Elephas maximus indicus: one gene and its partner. The protein of the gene in region 1 purifies or fractionates together with the protein of each later gene. This does not show direct contact. Links are inferred from orthologs where the notes say so. Each region holds a gene or a part of one and is shown in the gene's direction. Other genes may lie near its edges.

Region 1 (5,025 bases):
TGCCCAGGGGCCAGGGGCCAGGTCTCCCCCCTCCGGGTTTATCACGGCAAAGGTAATATTGTGCTAACTATGAGTAAACAGTCATTGTGAAAATGAGGGAGAGTTTATCAGAGGCGAACTAGTTGGGGGGTGGCTTAACAATAAAGTTGCCCGCCTTAGGAGCAGGTGATGGCTGGCTGCGCTGACTCCCGCGGTAGATGTTTTCCAAAGCACTCCACTTTACAATCTCTTGTAATTATTTATTAAACGAAATCTATTTATTATTATTTTAGCAAACACTGGAGACAGGTGGGGCTTTCTTTTCGTCGTCTCCTTTTGTCTGAAGGGCTGTTTGAAGTGGCCAGTCTCGGCCTGGGCAGCTCGCTCGCCAGATTTTTGTCTTCCCCTCTTTCAGTACCGAGGCGAAGGCGAGAGAAAGAAGCCCCCTCCTCTGGCAAACCATTAGCTATTCAGCTTCCCATAGCCCCCTTCCTCCCAGCTCAACTCTCAAAGAGCCCCCAAGCACGGCTATGATTCCCCCCGCCGACAGGAAGGCGGTAATGCCGGCCGCTGCCTTCCTTCTTTTCCATTCTGTCCGCGGTCTCCAGGCGTCTGACTGTCGCCTCTCCCCTGGGCCCCCGCAGCCTCTAGACAAGCTTAGATCCCAGAGAGTCGCAGGATGAGGGGGTTCCAGAGGCCCCGGAGGCGATGGCTGGCCCGGGGCAGCAAGAACAGGGTCTGCTCCCGGAAGGAAGATCCGTTTCACAAACACCAATTAGAGCGCACCGTGTTGTCAACACCTGCGCCTCCGCCGCCAAAAGCACAGGGATAAAATTTGGAGAGGGGTCTGGGCGTCCCATGCAGCGGAGAGGGAGGGCACAGATCCTCGATCTCTAACCTCCCTGGGATCTTCGACCTCCAACCCCGCCCTCCTGGCCAGAAGCACCGGGAGTTCTGGCGTTCAGTGACCAGGCGGCTGCTCCCTGCCGCTGTGCGCTCCGCGCCCTAGTTGCTTTTTGCGCACAGCAGGAGTGGTGGTAGCCTGCAAGCCCCGGAGGGTCCTGAGATGGAGGTGCTCTAGGGAGGCTAGAGAATAATTCCAAGCAGATCCCAGGGTTCTCTCCCCTCCAAGAAGTTTCCAAGAATCCCCCAGAATGTTCTCTGTCACAGGAAGCTCTGGCTGCAGCTCCCGCCACCACCCATTAGCAGCTCAGGGCAGGCTCCAGCCAGAGAGAGCTTTGCCCTTCCTCTCCATCTAGGTTCACCGCAGGTCGAGTGTCCCGGGTTCGGGCTGCTCTTCAGGCTACCAGGGAACCACAGGGAGGCGATGGCATCCCTCATAACCAAGGCTCCCCACATGGAGCCTACCCGGGTCCATCAGCCCTAGGGAAGCACGCTTTGGAATTCCTCTCCCAGTTCCCAATTCACAGGGGTGTAAGTTAAGCAATACTGGAGCATGGGGCAGGAAAGTCGAGAGATGGGGCTGGAATGGCTCCCCTTGGCGCTGCGGTATGGAGTCACTATGCCTTTTCTTACATGGTCCAGATATCCTTCACAGACCCCAGGCTTCTCCTGTTTTCTGTATTTAGGGGTCTTTGGTCTTGCCTTGAGAAAATATTTTCCGTGTAATCAAGGAGAAGGTACAGGAGAGAATCTACACTAAAAGTCTTGAGACCTGAGTCCTATGTGGTCTGATAGAACTTGCTATGTAACTTTGGTTTGTCATTTTTCCTCTCTGGGCCTTGACTGTTCCATCTGTAAAATGGGCCTCAGGTTCCCATTTTTATGACTAGAAGATAGATCTGGAGCTAATAATGACCCAAGGGAGAAGACACAGCAAAGATGAGGTCCCAAGAATCCTGGTGCAGTCTCTTTTTTAGTCTTGACCCTGACGTAGGGCTTCGGCTCCCTCCACTCTCTGCGCCCCCACCCCAGTTCTAGATCTCTCTGGCTCCCAAGCACATCCACTCTCTGCCTTGGAGTTAATTTCGTCCCTCCCCCCACCCCTTCAGCAGCCTGGGCAATGAGCCGTCACCAGCGCGGACATGCTGACCTACCTCGTCTGCTCATTCCATCCCCTCAACCTCCCATTTGGGCCTGACACCTCCACCGGGTTCTGGGAAGCTTAGGGTTTCTGGGCTCGTTAGAAAACGAAGCCTTCCCTGCCACGGGAGGCTTAGCCCAGGCGCCAGTCGTTTCGGCCTCTGCTTCCTCCCTCCCCCCGCCCCCGTACTTCGCGGTGAATAAGGACGAGCGGAAGCAGCGACCCCTCACCCTGAGTGACCGGAAGCAGAAGACCACTGGGTGTTCGAGGCGGGAACAAGAGGGAGGGGCGGGGAAGAAAGGAGGGATGATAGGTTCAGAATCACTTTGGTTAAAGCTAATGGGGCAAACCGAGGGCCCAGTGCTCCGTGGGCGCTCATGACGAGGCAGGGACCAGGCCAGGTGACCGCCGCGGCCCCTGCCCGCCTGTGGTTGGACAGGAGGGCTAAGGGGAGAAAGGGTGGATCTGACTCCCTCAGTACCACCGCATCGTGGGGGTTCAAAAAGCACAGCCCAGGCGGCGGTCTCCAACACTCCTCTGGTTCGCGGTGCACTCCTGGCCCTATCCTGGCCCCCTCGCACCTCCCCGACCACTCCCCCTGCAGGCCCTGGCCAGCACGCTAGGGTACTGTCCACGCCTAGTGGCGGTGTAATGGCCCCTTGAAGGTCCCACCACAGCCAGTTTCCACCTCTGGGGAAGGATCAGAACGTCTCGGGTGGGGTGGGCGGGGCGGGGTTCCAAGTGCCCCTATCTGGGAGAGTTTGGGGCGGCATCTCAGGACGCGGCTGGGACTCAGACACCCCCCAGGCGAAGGTTTCTGAGCCCCACGGACATAGGCAGGATTCCTCTCCAAGCCGTCGGCCTGTTTCCCAGGAGCAGCTGGCTAGTGAAACACCACTCCACGTGTGTTTCTTAACCTGACCCATTGCGCTGGAGTGCAGGGTGGCAGCCGGCAAGCTGGTAGTCAGGACCTCTGGCTCCTTGTTCCATTTCTCCCACGACCTCACAGTGCGATTTGAGGCAAGCCTTCTCCCTCAGAGTCTAAATTTTCACGTGCATGACACGTGGGGATTGGCCTCTCCTACAGGCGTCCCAAAGGTACCAAGAGATAATCTGAGCAGAAGCAAAAGACAGAACACGAGCTAAGCTCTCTAGGCGGCCAGATGCGAGCCAGACGCGGTTTTGCGCATGGGCGAGGTTCTTTGAGGAACTGAGAGTTGCTGGGACAGAGCCCGTGGGGAGAGAGCAAACAGAGCGCGCTCCCCTCCCCCGACCTGGGCCTTTGTCCGGAATCCAGCTGTGCCCCGCGGGGGAGGAGGGGGCTCGCGTGGCGCGGCCCCGGGGCCCAGGCGCTGATTGGTCCGCGGCTGAGGCAGCAGCCGGACAGGCACGCTCCTGGCCCGGGCCGAGCAGATAAAGCGTGCCAAGGGGCACACGACTTGCAGCTCAGGAAATCCCTGCGGTCTCACAGCCGTGCCGAGACAGAGCCACAGACAGGGACCAGGACCACGCAGGCTTCACGCTTCTCCGCTCCCGGGGCTGGGGAAACTCCCAGGCGGCGGCGCCTGCAGCTCAGCTCAGCCCGCGGGCGGGAAGGCCAGCTCAGCCCTGGTTGCTCACCCTTCTGTGCCGTTTTGCGCCCAGCAAACTAGGTAACCCTCTTTTGGCACTTGGAGGGTGCGAAGGGACGGGTGGCAGGGGGTCCTCTGACCCGGCGGGGTGGCTCTTCCTCGGTTTTGGTTGTTTGTTTCACCATCTGGTCCGGGGGTCGAGAGCTGAGCGGATGTGATCGATAGACGCTTACCGGTCGGTCGCTCTTACACCACCGCAGGATGGCGCCTCATCCCTCGGGTGCGCCTGCTATCCAAGTGACCCGCCAGACTGAGCAGCCCTTCCCGAGCGCCTCGGACGACGAAGTGACCTGCTCCGCGTCCGCCCCGCCCAGCCCCACTCATTTACCCCCGGGCTGCACCGAGGCCCAAGCCAGCGGCTGTCGGGGGTCAGCGAGGAAGCTCCGGGCGCGGCACGGGGGACGCAGCCGGCCCAAGAGCGAGTTGGCGCTGAGCAGGCAGCGACGGAGCCGGCGCAAGAAAGCCAACGACCGCGAGCGCAATCGGATGCACAACCTCAACTCGGCGCTGGACGCTCTTCGCGGCGTCCTGCCCACCTTCCCGGACGACGCGAAGCTCACTAAGATCGAGACGCTGCGCTTCGCCCACAACTACATCTGGGCGCTGACGCAAACGCTGCGCCTAGCAGACCACAGTCTCTTCGACGGGCTGGAGCCGCCGGCGCCGCCTTGCGCAGAGCTAGGCAGCCCAGACCGCGGCTCCCCCGGGGATTGGGGCTCCCTCTACTCCCCAGTCTCTCAGGCGGGCAGCCTGAGTCCCGCTGCCTCGCTGGAGGAGCTGCCGGGGCTACTGGCGCCAGTCTCCCCAGCCTGCCTGCGCCCAGGCGCCCTGGCCTTTTCAGACTTTCTGTGAAGAGGCCCGTCGGCGGCCCGGAGGTGGGGTGCTAGGAGAGAGGGAGGGGACTGTCAGGGGTGGGCGGAGGCTGTGGCTCTCGAGCACAAGTGTTCCTCCCGTCTCTCGCCTGCCGACCCCTAGCAGCCCCCACGCCCGCGGGGGTGGCAGACCGGGTTCAACCCCCAGCCCTCCCCGCCACGCCAACTCCAGCAACCCTATACCTCTCCCTGCGCGAAGAGGGCACTGCAGGCTCCACGCGTTCTAGGCCCCTTTCTGGGGCCACCCCAGAATCTCGTGCAAAGAGGGATGGTAGCACTACACAGCGGGAGACGTCTACCGTCTTCAAAAGCCCTACCGGCACTCCAGTCGGTGTCTGTCTGTCTGTCTGCCTGTCCGTCTGTCTTTTCCCACACCTCCCCCAACAGAATTTAATCCAATGGTCTCAGCGCTGGCTCCCCTAGCTCAGCGTCTCTTCTCCAAAGACGCCGCTGCCCTTCCCTCCTCCCCCCATTGAGTCCCGGGTTTCGGGCCACTCCA
Region 2 (6,973 bases), on another chromosome or scaffold:
AGCTGACTTTGGGCGACTTAGTTAATTTCTGAGCCTCAGTTTCCTCATCTGCCAAGTGGGGATGATGATGATAATACTTCCTCTCAGGGTCCAGGTCATGAAGTTAGGGGAAAATGAGTGGAAAGTACCTAGAGCTGTGTCTCACACACGACAGACACAATAGACATACAATAAATTGTGAGCCATTATTGCTTTTTACATGATGGGAATTGAGTACAACAAAATTCCATGAGTTCTTATGACCGTGAGGGGGACACTCCGAGAGGGGCCGTAGGAGGTCACAGAGCTTGGATGTTGTCCTTAGATCTACTTTAATTTCTATCTGAAGTTTTAAAATAGAAAACATAAGAAACTGACTTCTGTAGAAGTCTCCAGAGGGAGGTGCTTTTGTCTCTGACCTCATGGGATGGCTGCCCCCAGTGGCCCCCCACTGCCCAGGGTATGGCCTCCCTCTTGCTGTCTCCACAGAGACCGGTAAGGGAGTGCCCCCAGGTCGCCAGGCTGCGTCTGCTCCAGGAAGTCTCCATCTTTGGTGCCTCTGTAGTACATGTCTCCTGTCAGTGCTCTTAGGAGACATTTCAGCTTCCTGAGCTAAGGTTGATTTGTATCTTTTGAATCCTGTAAGTATAGACGTCAGAAACTGACTTTTTAGTATAATGGCTCCCAGCATACCCAGTTGTCTTTTTTCTCTCTGACTGGGCTCATATAAGCATGTCACCATAAGGAATGGCTCTGGGCTATACCTCAGCCATTTCTCTTCTGGCAGGACCCCTTACTCCGAGAACCTGGGTGGCGGTGGTGTAGCTGCAGGCCAATGAGAACCCAGAGGGCATTGGCTCATCCCGTCCACATCTTGGCTTTATATTCCTTGCTGCTTATTTATTTTCTGTCATCTTTTTCCTTCTTCTTAGGCACTTGGGGACAATCTGGCTTTGCCACTTCTTAACTGTGCCTGTTACCCACTCCTGCCCTCACTTTCCACATTTATCAGAGGGAATTGGAAGACCTGCACAGTCTTCCTGTTCCCATGTTTTGAGAAGGGAGAAGACACCAAAGGTTCTTCTTAGGTATGCAGTTATCAAAAGCAAATAATCTTTCCCCAGAGAATGTTCGGTCCTGGAAGAAGCTCTTTAATTGTGCTTCATTGGTCTAAACACATCTGTGCAGAATTTGGTCATTTCTTAAAATCGCAAAGTGAATCATGCAGTTTACAGGCATGGGGCCAAACTGTGCCTAGAATCTTCTTCAAAGACAGCGGACAGTCTCTTCAGTCTGGGTCAAGGAACTCTTCCGTGAGACCACGCCCAACGGAGTGCCTCAGTCCCACATTGTCCCCAGTTGTGCACGTGAAGGCCAGATCAGTTTCTATGACACCGGCTCCACCCTTGAGCATTCAAGCATTTAACCTGTGTTCAGGGGCTGTCGGGGCACCTGCGACTTATTTCTATTAGAAATAGCTACATTTACACCAAACAGAATTTGACAGATCCTGTACACCCTGTCTCACTGCGTTCTTAGACTTGTAGCTGAGGGCAGTGGTGGTTCAGTGGTAGAATTCTCACCTTCCATGTGAGAGACCCAGGTTCGATTCCTGGCCAATGCACCTCAAGTGCAGCTACCACTCACCTGTCAGTTGAGGCTTACATGTTGCTGTGATGCTAAACAGGTTTCAGCAGAGCTTCCAGACTAAGGCAGACTAGGAGGAAAGGCCTGGTGATCCACTGCCGAAAATCAGCCAGTGAAACACTACGGGTCACAACAGGCCAGTCCTGTTGGGCAGGGGGTCCCCGTGAGTTGGGGGCCGACTTGACCGCAGCTAAGAGACACAATTTTTAGCTAGCTCTTCCTCAGAACTACTTGCTTTTACCATTGCTAACTTTCTGAAAAAAAAAAATTTTTTTTTCCCATGTATTTTATAGAGTGCCAGCAGGCAGGAGGGTGTTTAGCCTGACTTGGTAAAAGAAAACATTATATTTCTAATAAAACATTCATCATGATGGTAAAAAATTAGGGGTAGGGTGATTTATTATATTTCTCAGCATATTATCTAACTAGAGGTGTTCTCTGATTCACGCAAAACTTTATGTAGATAATGTCCAGCTTAAGTACCTGAAAGTTTTCCAGAAATACCGTTTTCCGAGTGGGAGTAAGGGGTAAGGGAGTATAAATCGCCTCTGAGTAGCTTTAACGTTTCTGTATAGAAATACTTTTATCACTAACATTCTGGTAGAGTTTTAATATTTAGGTTTTTATCGTGCTTTTTAAGATGTTAAAACTTTTAACCTGGTTGCTCAGGGATTAAATCAGATTGGAAAACCCATTCTGACTCCTATGTATTACTACAAAGAAAGAAATGGTTATTTTTATTGAGCTGCAGGGAGTAGTATGCTTTAAACTTAGACTTTCTTAAGAAAGTTAAAATGCTTCACAATGATGTTGCAGTATCGTCCTGAGGGACTTTTTTCAATTGATAAAATCTCTGATGATGCGAGACTTCTTTTCCACCCAGTGAAATCCACATCTGGACTAGTCACTAGCTCCCCTGAGCAGCGGCATGTAAATAAATGCACTCCCAGCGTTTCGCACCCTCAGGCCTTCTTCTTGGTCATAAACTGTGAGACATCCGAAGTGAGAAAGGTTTCACTACAAGGGAAAGCACTGCAAACAGTGGGTCCTGAGGGGGCAGCAAAGAACCTTGACGTTGCATCTGTGCTGGTTTTAGCAAGGTAGCCGGACAGAGGCAAACATTTGCTCTGGGGTAAAACTCGTTACGTACTGTGACTGGTAAATTTGTTCAATCCAGCTACCAGGAACTGCTTGAAATTGGCCAGATACCATTCCTTAAACATACAAGGAAATACCGCACCTGTGGGGAAACAAGAATTTTTTTTTTTTTTGGCTTTAACAAAGAAAGTTAATTTTCTTGCAGTATAGTAGGCTAAAAGTCCAAATTCAGGGTGTCGGCTCCAGGGGAAGGTTTTCTCTCTCTCTGTTGGCTCCGGAGGAAGGTCCTCGTCCTCGATCTTCACATGGTTGAGGAGCTTCTCAGGCGCAGTGACCCCAGGTCCAAACGACACTCTCGTGGTGCTTTCTTGGTGGTATGAGATCCCCAACTCTGCTTGCTTCAAAACAAGAATTTTATTCTATTTTATTTGATCAGAATATTGTAACTTGCAAAAAAACGAGTCAGAAAAAAAATGGTTTGGGTTTATGTTGCATTTTGAGTCTGGTCTTGCTCAAACAGCTCTATAGAAACATCAGCTCTTGCATATGTAATGCTTAAATTTGCACATGACTATCAAGTCCATTAAAAATCAACCTTGTACATGATGTGTGTGGCTTCTTTCTTGGGTCTCCTTTCCCTATTTACGGACGGTTGTTTAGAATATACCAAGTAATTAGTCTTAATCTTTCTCACTAATTTGGGAAGACATACTTTCTCGGTACTTTATACATCCCGTGGGTGATTCCTAACCTGAATCTGATACAAACCATAGCTTCTTGCTCCAGAACAATGATGTTCAGAGCTTGGGTGCGAGGCTGGAGGGAGGGCACAGACCCTGGCCCGCGGGAGTGAGGGGAGGCGGCCAGGTCCATCAGCAGTACCAGGAGGTGTCTGCGGAAGGAAAAGTGAAGCCACGGGCTGTGGGCGCACGGGCATGAGTTAACCATCTGGTGGGAGGGAGGATGAGGTACCAGGAAGGCCTCTTAAAGGAGGTGACTTCGGAGTTGGGGTGTTCACGAAGTCCTATTAGTCCTGTCGCGCTTTGAAAACAGTAGATGGAAACTCGGAGAGTCTAGCATCCGCGGGCCACAACTTATGCTGGCCATTTATACAGACTTGGACGTTACTCAGGTCGACTCAGAACCGGAGGCCGTCAGAAGGGGGCGCTGCACGGCCCACGAGCCTTTCGACCTTTAAAGCGGCGACGCGGGAAGCGCTTCCCGTGCGAAGGCGGTACTTCCGGCGGCGCGCTGGGTCCGGGGGCCCCTTGGCCCCAGTTGTCCTTCGCATCGGCACGTGTCGCGCCGCAGCTTCCGCGTCGGTGATGCTGCCCCTACTGCGCTGCGCGCCCCGCGCCCTGGGCTCCGCCGTGGGCGGCCTCCGCGCCGCCGCGCCCTTCCCGCCGCTCCGGCGGCTGCTGCAGCCGGCGCCCCAGCCCTGCGCCCGGCCCTTCGGGCTGCTCAGCGTGCGCGCGGGCTCGGAGCGGCGGCCCGGCCTCCTGCGGCCCCGCGGGCCCTGCGGCTGCGGCTGCGGTGGGCTGCACACTGAAGGTGGGGCCGGATCCGGGGCCGACATGGGGGGCTCCGGGGGCCCGGGGAGGGGGAGGGCGAGTGTAGGCCGGGAGCCTGCTGCTGGAGCCGCCTCCCGGAGCGCCGAGCGTTCTGTCCACTGATGAGCTGCACGGGTGGCTGAGCTCACGTGGCAGCACGTTCCCGCACCCCACCCGGGAGAGCGAGCATTAAGCCCTGGGCGCCGCCTTTATCCTGAGTCCCGCGAAAACTGAGCTTTAGGAAGGCCGAGGGCTGTGGTTGAAAGCAGCATGGTTATGTCGGTTGACAAGTTCAGGAAGGTAGTCGGGCGTTCTTTGCTTTGTGGCGAAACGTGGTCATGAGATTGTTGGAAATCACTTCTCCAGACTCGAATTCAGCTTCCCACGGAGACCGTTATGGAATTTTTACAAATGAGGCTTAAGGAAGTGAATTGGACTAAATTCCCAGAGCAACCGTCGATAGCAAAGACATTAGAGACAGCCCAAGTCCAGATATCTGGCTGCAGTAACCTGGGTCATTGTTTGATGCTTTTAGACTGATTGACTTTTTTTTTCTGTGTCATCTGGTTTCTCATTTTAGGAGACAAAGCATTTGTTGAGTTCCTGAATGATGAAATTAAGGAGGAGAAGAAAATCCAGAAACATAAGTCCCTCCCCAAGATGTCTGGAGGCTGGGAGCTGGAAGTGAATGGGACAGAAGCTAAATTAGTGCGGAAAGTTGCTGGGGAAAAGTAAGTACCAGGCTCAGTGCTTGGGAACTCCAGGGGCCAAATCCAGGACCCTGCAAGAGCTGCCCTGGGCCTACTCCAGAACAGCCTTGAGTTTAAGGCAGGTAATTTGATACATAACTTTCAAGAGAAAGAGAAGGGTGCATCTGGACAAGTTCCTAAGTTTCAGGTCATTCACTGGACACAAATTTGCTGTGGGCTGGTTACAAAGGAGACAGTAAGGAAGTGGAACAAAAGCGTGTGACTGGAAGTCTATTGGCCCAGTAAAGGCAGTCTGCAGTAAACCTTTGCTGGTGGAGAGACCATGCCCTGTCTAAATTTAGGCCTGCAAAATCAGAAATTCTTATATTCCTGTTAAAACAGTCAGTGATCTCTGGTTTACGGTGCTGACTAATAACCTGCCGGGCTGGCTCTGTGTCTGAGTAAAGCCAGGCACTTTGCTCTCTGAATGTTTACAGTAGGTGAAAAAGTAAGATATGTAATTTATAGGTAACAGGATTGGGTGACAATATAGTAAGGGCTGCACTCACAGGTGGGCAGCTTTTGACCTAGTTCAGCTCCTCCCCATTCCTAACTGTTAAATTCTTTTTCTGCAGTATGTAGTCATCCTTAATCCCACTTTACGGCTAAACATTTAGGGTCTTCTGGTTTCTTCCCCAGAGTATACAGCTCAGTGGCTTTTAGCATTCACAAAGTTGTGCCTTGATCACCGCTACCTAATTCCAGAACATTTTCACCACCACCCTGCCCCACCCCCCCCCAAAAAAGCCAAACCCATTGGCAGTCACTCCCCATCCGACGTCTCTCCCCTTAGTAACCACTAATCTACTCTCTGCCTCTATGGATTTGCGTGTTCATATATTCTGGATACAGTTCCCTTCTCAGATATATGATTTGCAAATATTTTCTCCCATTCCCTAGATTTTCATTTTTTTGATGGTGTTCTTTGAAGCATAAAAAAGGTTAATGTTGATGAAGTCCAGTTTATCTTTTTTTGCTTCTGTTTTTAGTGGCCTGACCCAAGGTCACCAAGATTTATATCTACGTTTTCTTCTGAGTTTTATGTAGTTTTGGCCGTTATGTTTAGGTTGGTGATTGGTCTTGAGTTAATTTATACCTGTGAGGCAGACTACTGATTCTTTTTTTGCCTGGGGGTATAGTTGCTTTTTGCCATACATAGATCAATTGTATGTTCTGTCACTTCACCTAAACTGTTTCCTTCGGAGTTGGATAGTGAGCCGTAACCAGCTTCTGGCTATTATAAATAAAACTGCAGCGAATGTCATGCATTTGTGTGCCCAGGAGCTCAGCTTATTGCCTAACACTACTGCAGATGAGGTAGATTTTGTGGTTGAACCTCAAACCACATTGTTCCTATGGGAAAATGGCTTCCTGGCAAAGCAGCCAGTTAGCACCACTCCAGGGGCACCTATTAGTGTGTGCCGAGAGGTGTCCTTCCTGTAAAGCAAATGGGAACAGTACCTGCTGGAGTGTGCAGCCCAGGATTGCTACTTCCAGATTTAGCATCACTGGAACTTTGACTCAGATTTTGGAATGTGATTGTCAGCTGAGCGTGCTTGCTTGCATCTTCAGATTGTCATTAGCTGTACACAGATGAATTGTGTGTTCTGTCGCTTCACTAAAGTGTTTCCTGGCCTCCCACAGCACAGCGGAGAATGAGTCTGTCCTGCAGCATGTTCCCGGTGAAGTCCCCCTTCCTGGCTAGGGCTGCAAGTGGTCCTCAGCTGATGTAACTCCAGTGCTCACTCGCTTTTCCTCCCAGGGGCAGGTTTTGTGATGGAGAAAGCTCTTAAAGGAGCACCGACTTCTCAGCTGCCCACCTCCATCAGGAAAGTGCCGGGGAAAGACTAGGGCAGGCAGTGTCAGCTGGGCAGTGAGCCCTGGGATGCTGGCCTGTTGGAAGTAGCCGACATGTGACTGTATTTGGCCATGATGGACTAGGGCTCATGA

The links. Proteins that work in one complex are often made in the same cells at the same time.
Region 2: the proteins of NEUROG3 (region 1) and C1QBP purify together in Homo sapiens (affinity purification with mass spectrometry; 3 studies listed by BioGRID and IntAct, counting the BioPlex papers as one, with this or other methods). This does not show direct contact. The link is inferred for Elephas maximus indicus from reciprocal best matches to the Homo sapiens genes NEUROG3 and C1QBP.

What each region holds. Positions count from the first base shown.
Region 1 is NC_064834.1:18,378,854-18,383,878, forward strand, and holds NEUROG3 (neurogenin-3), read left to right. Parts: upstream 1-3,855; coding exon 3,856-4,506; downstream 4,507-5,025. UniProt on the Homo sapiens protein: Acts as a transcriptional regulator. Together with NKX2-2, initiates transcriptional activation of NEUROD1. Involved in neurogenesis. Also required for the specification of a common precursor of the 4 pancreatic endocrine cell types.
Region 2 is NC_064837.1:15,103,868-15,110,840, reverse strand, and holds the start of C1QBP (complement component 1 Q subcomponent-binding protein, mitochondrial), read left to right. Parts: upstream 1-3,960; 5' UTR 3,961-4,049; coding exon 4,050-4,275; intron 4,276-4,854; coding exon 4,855-5,005; intron 5,006-6,973.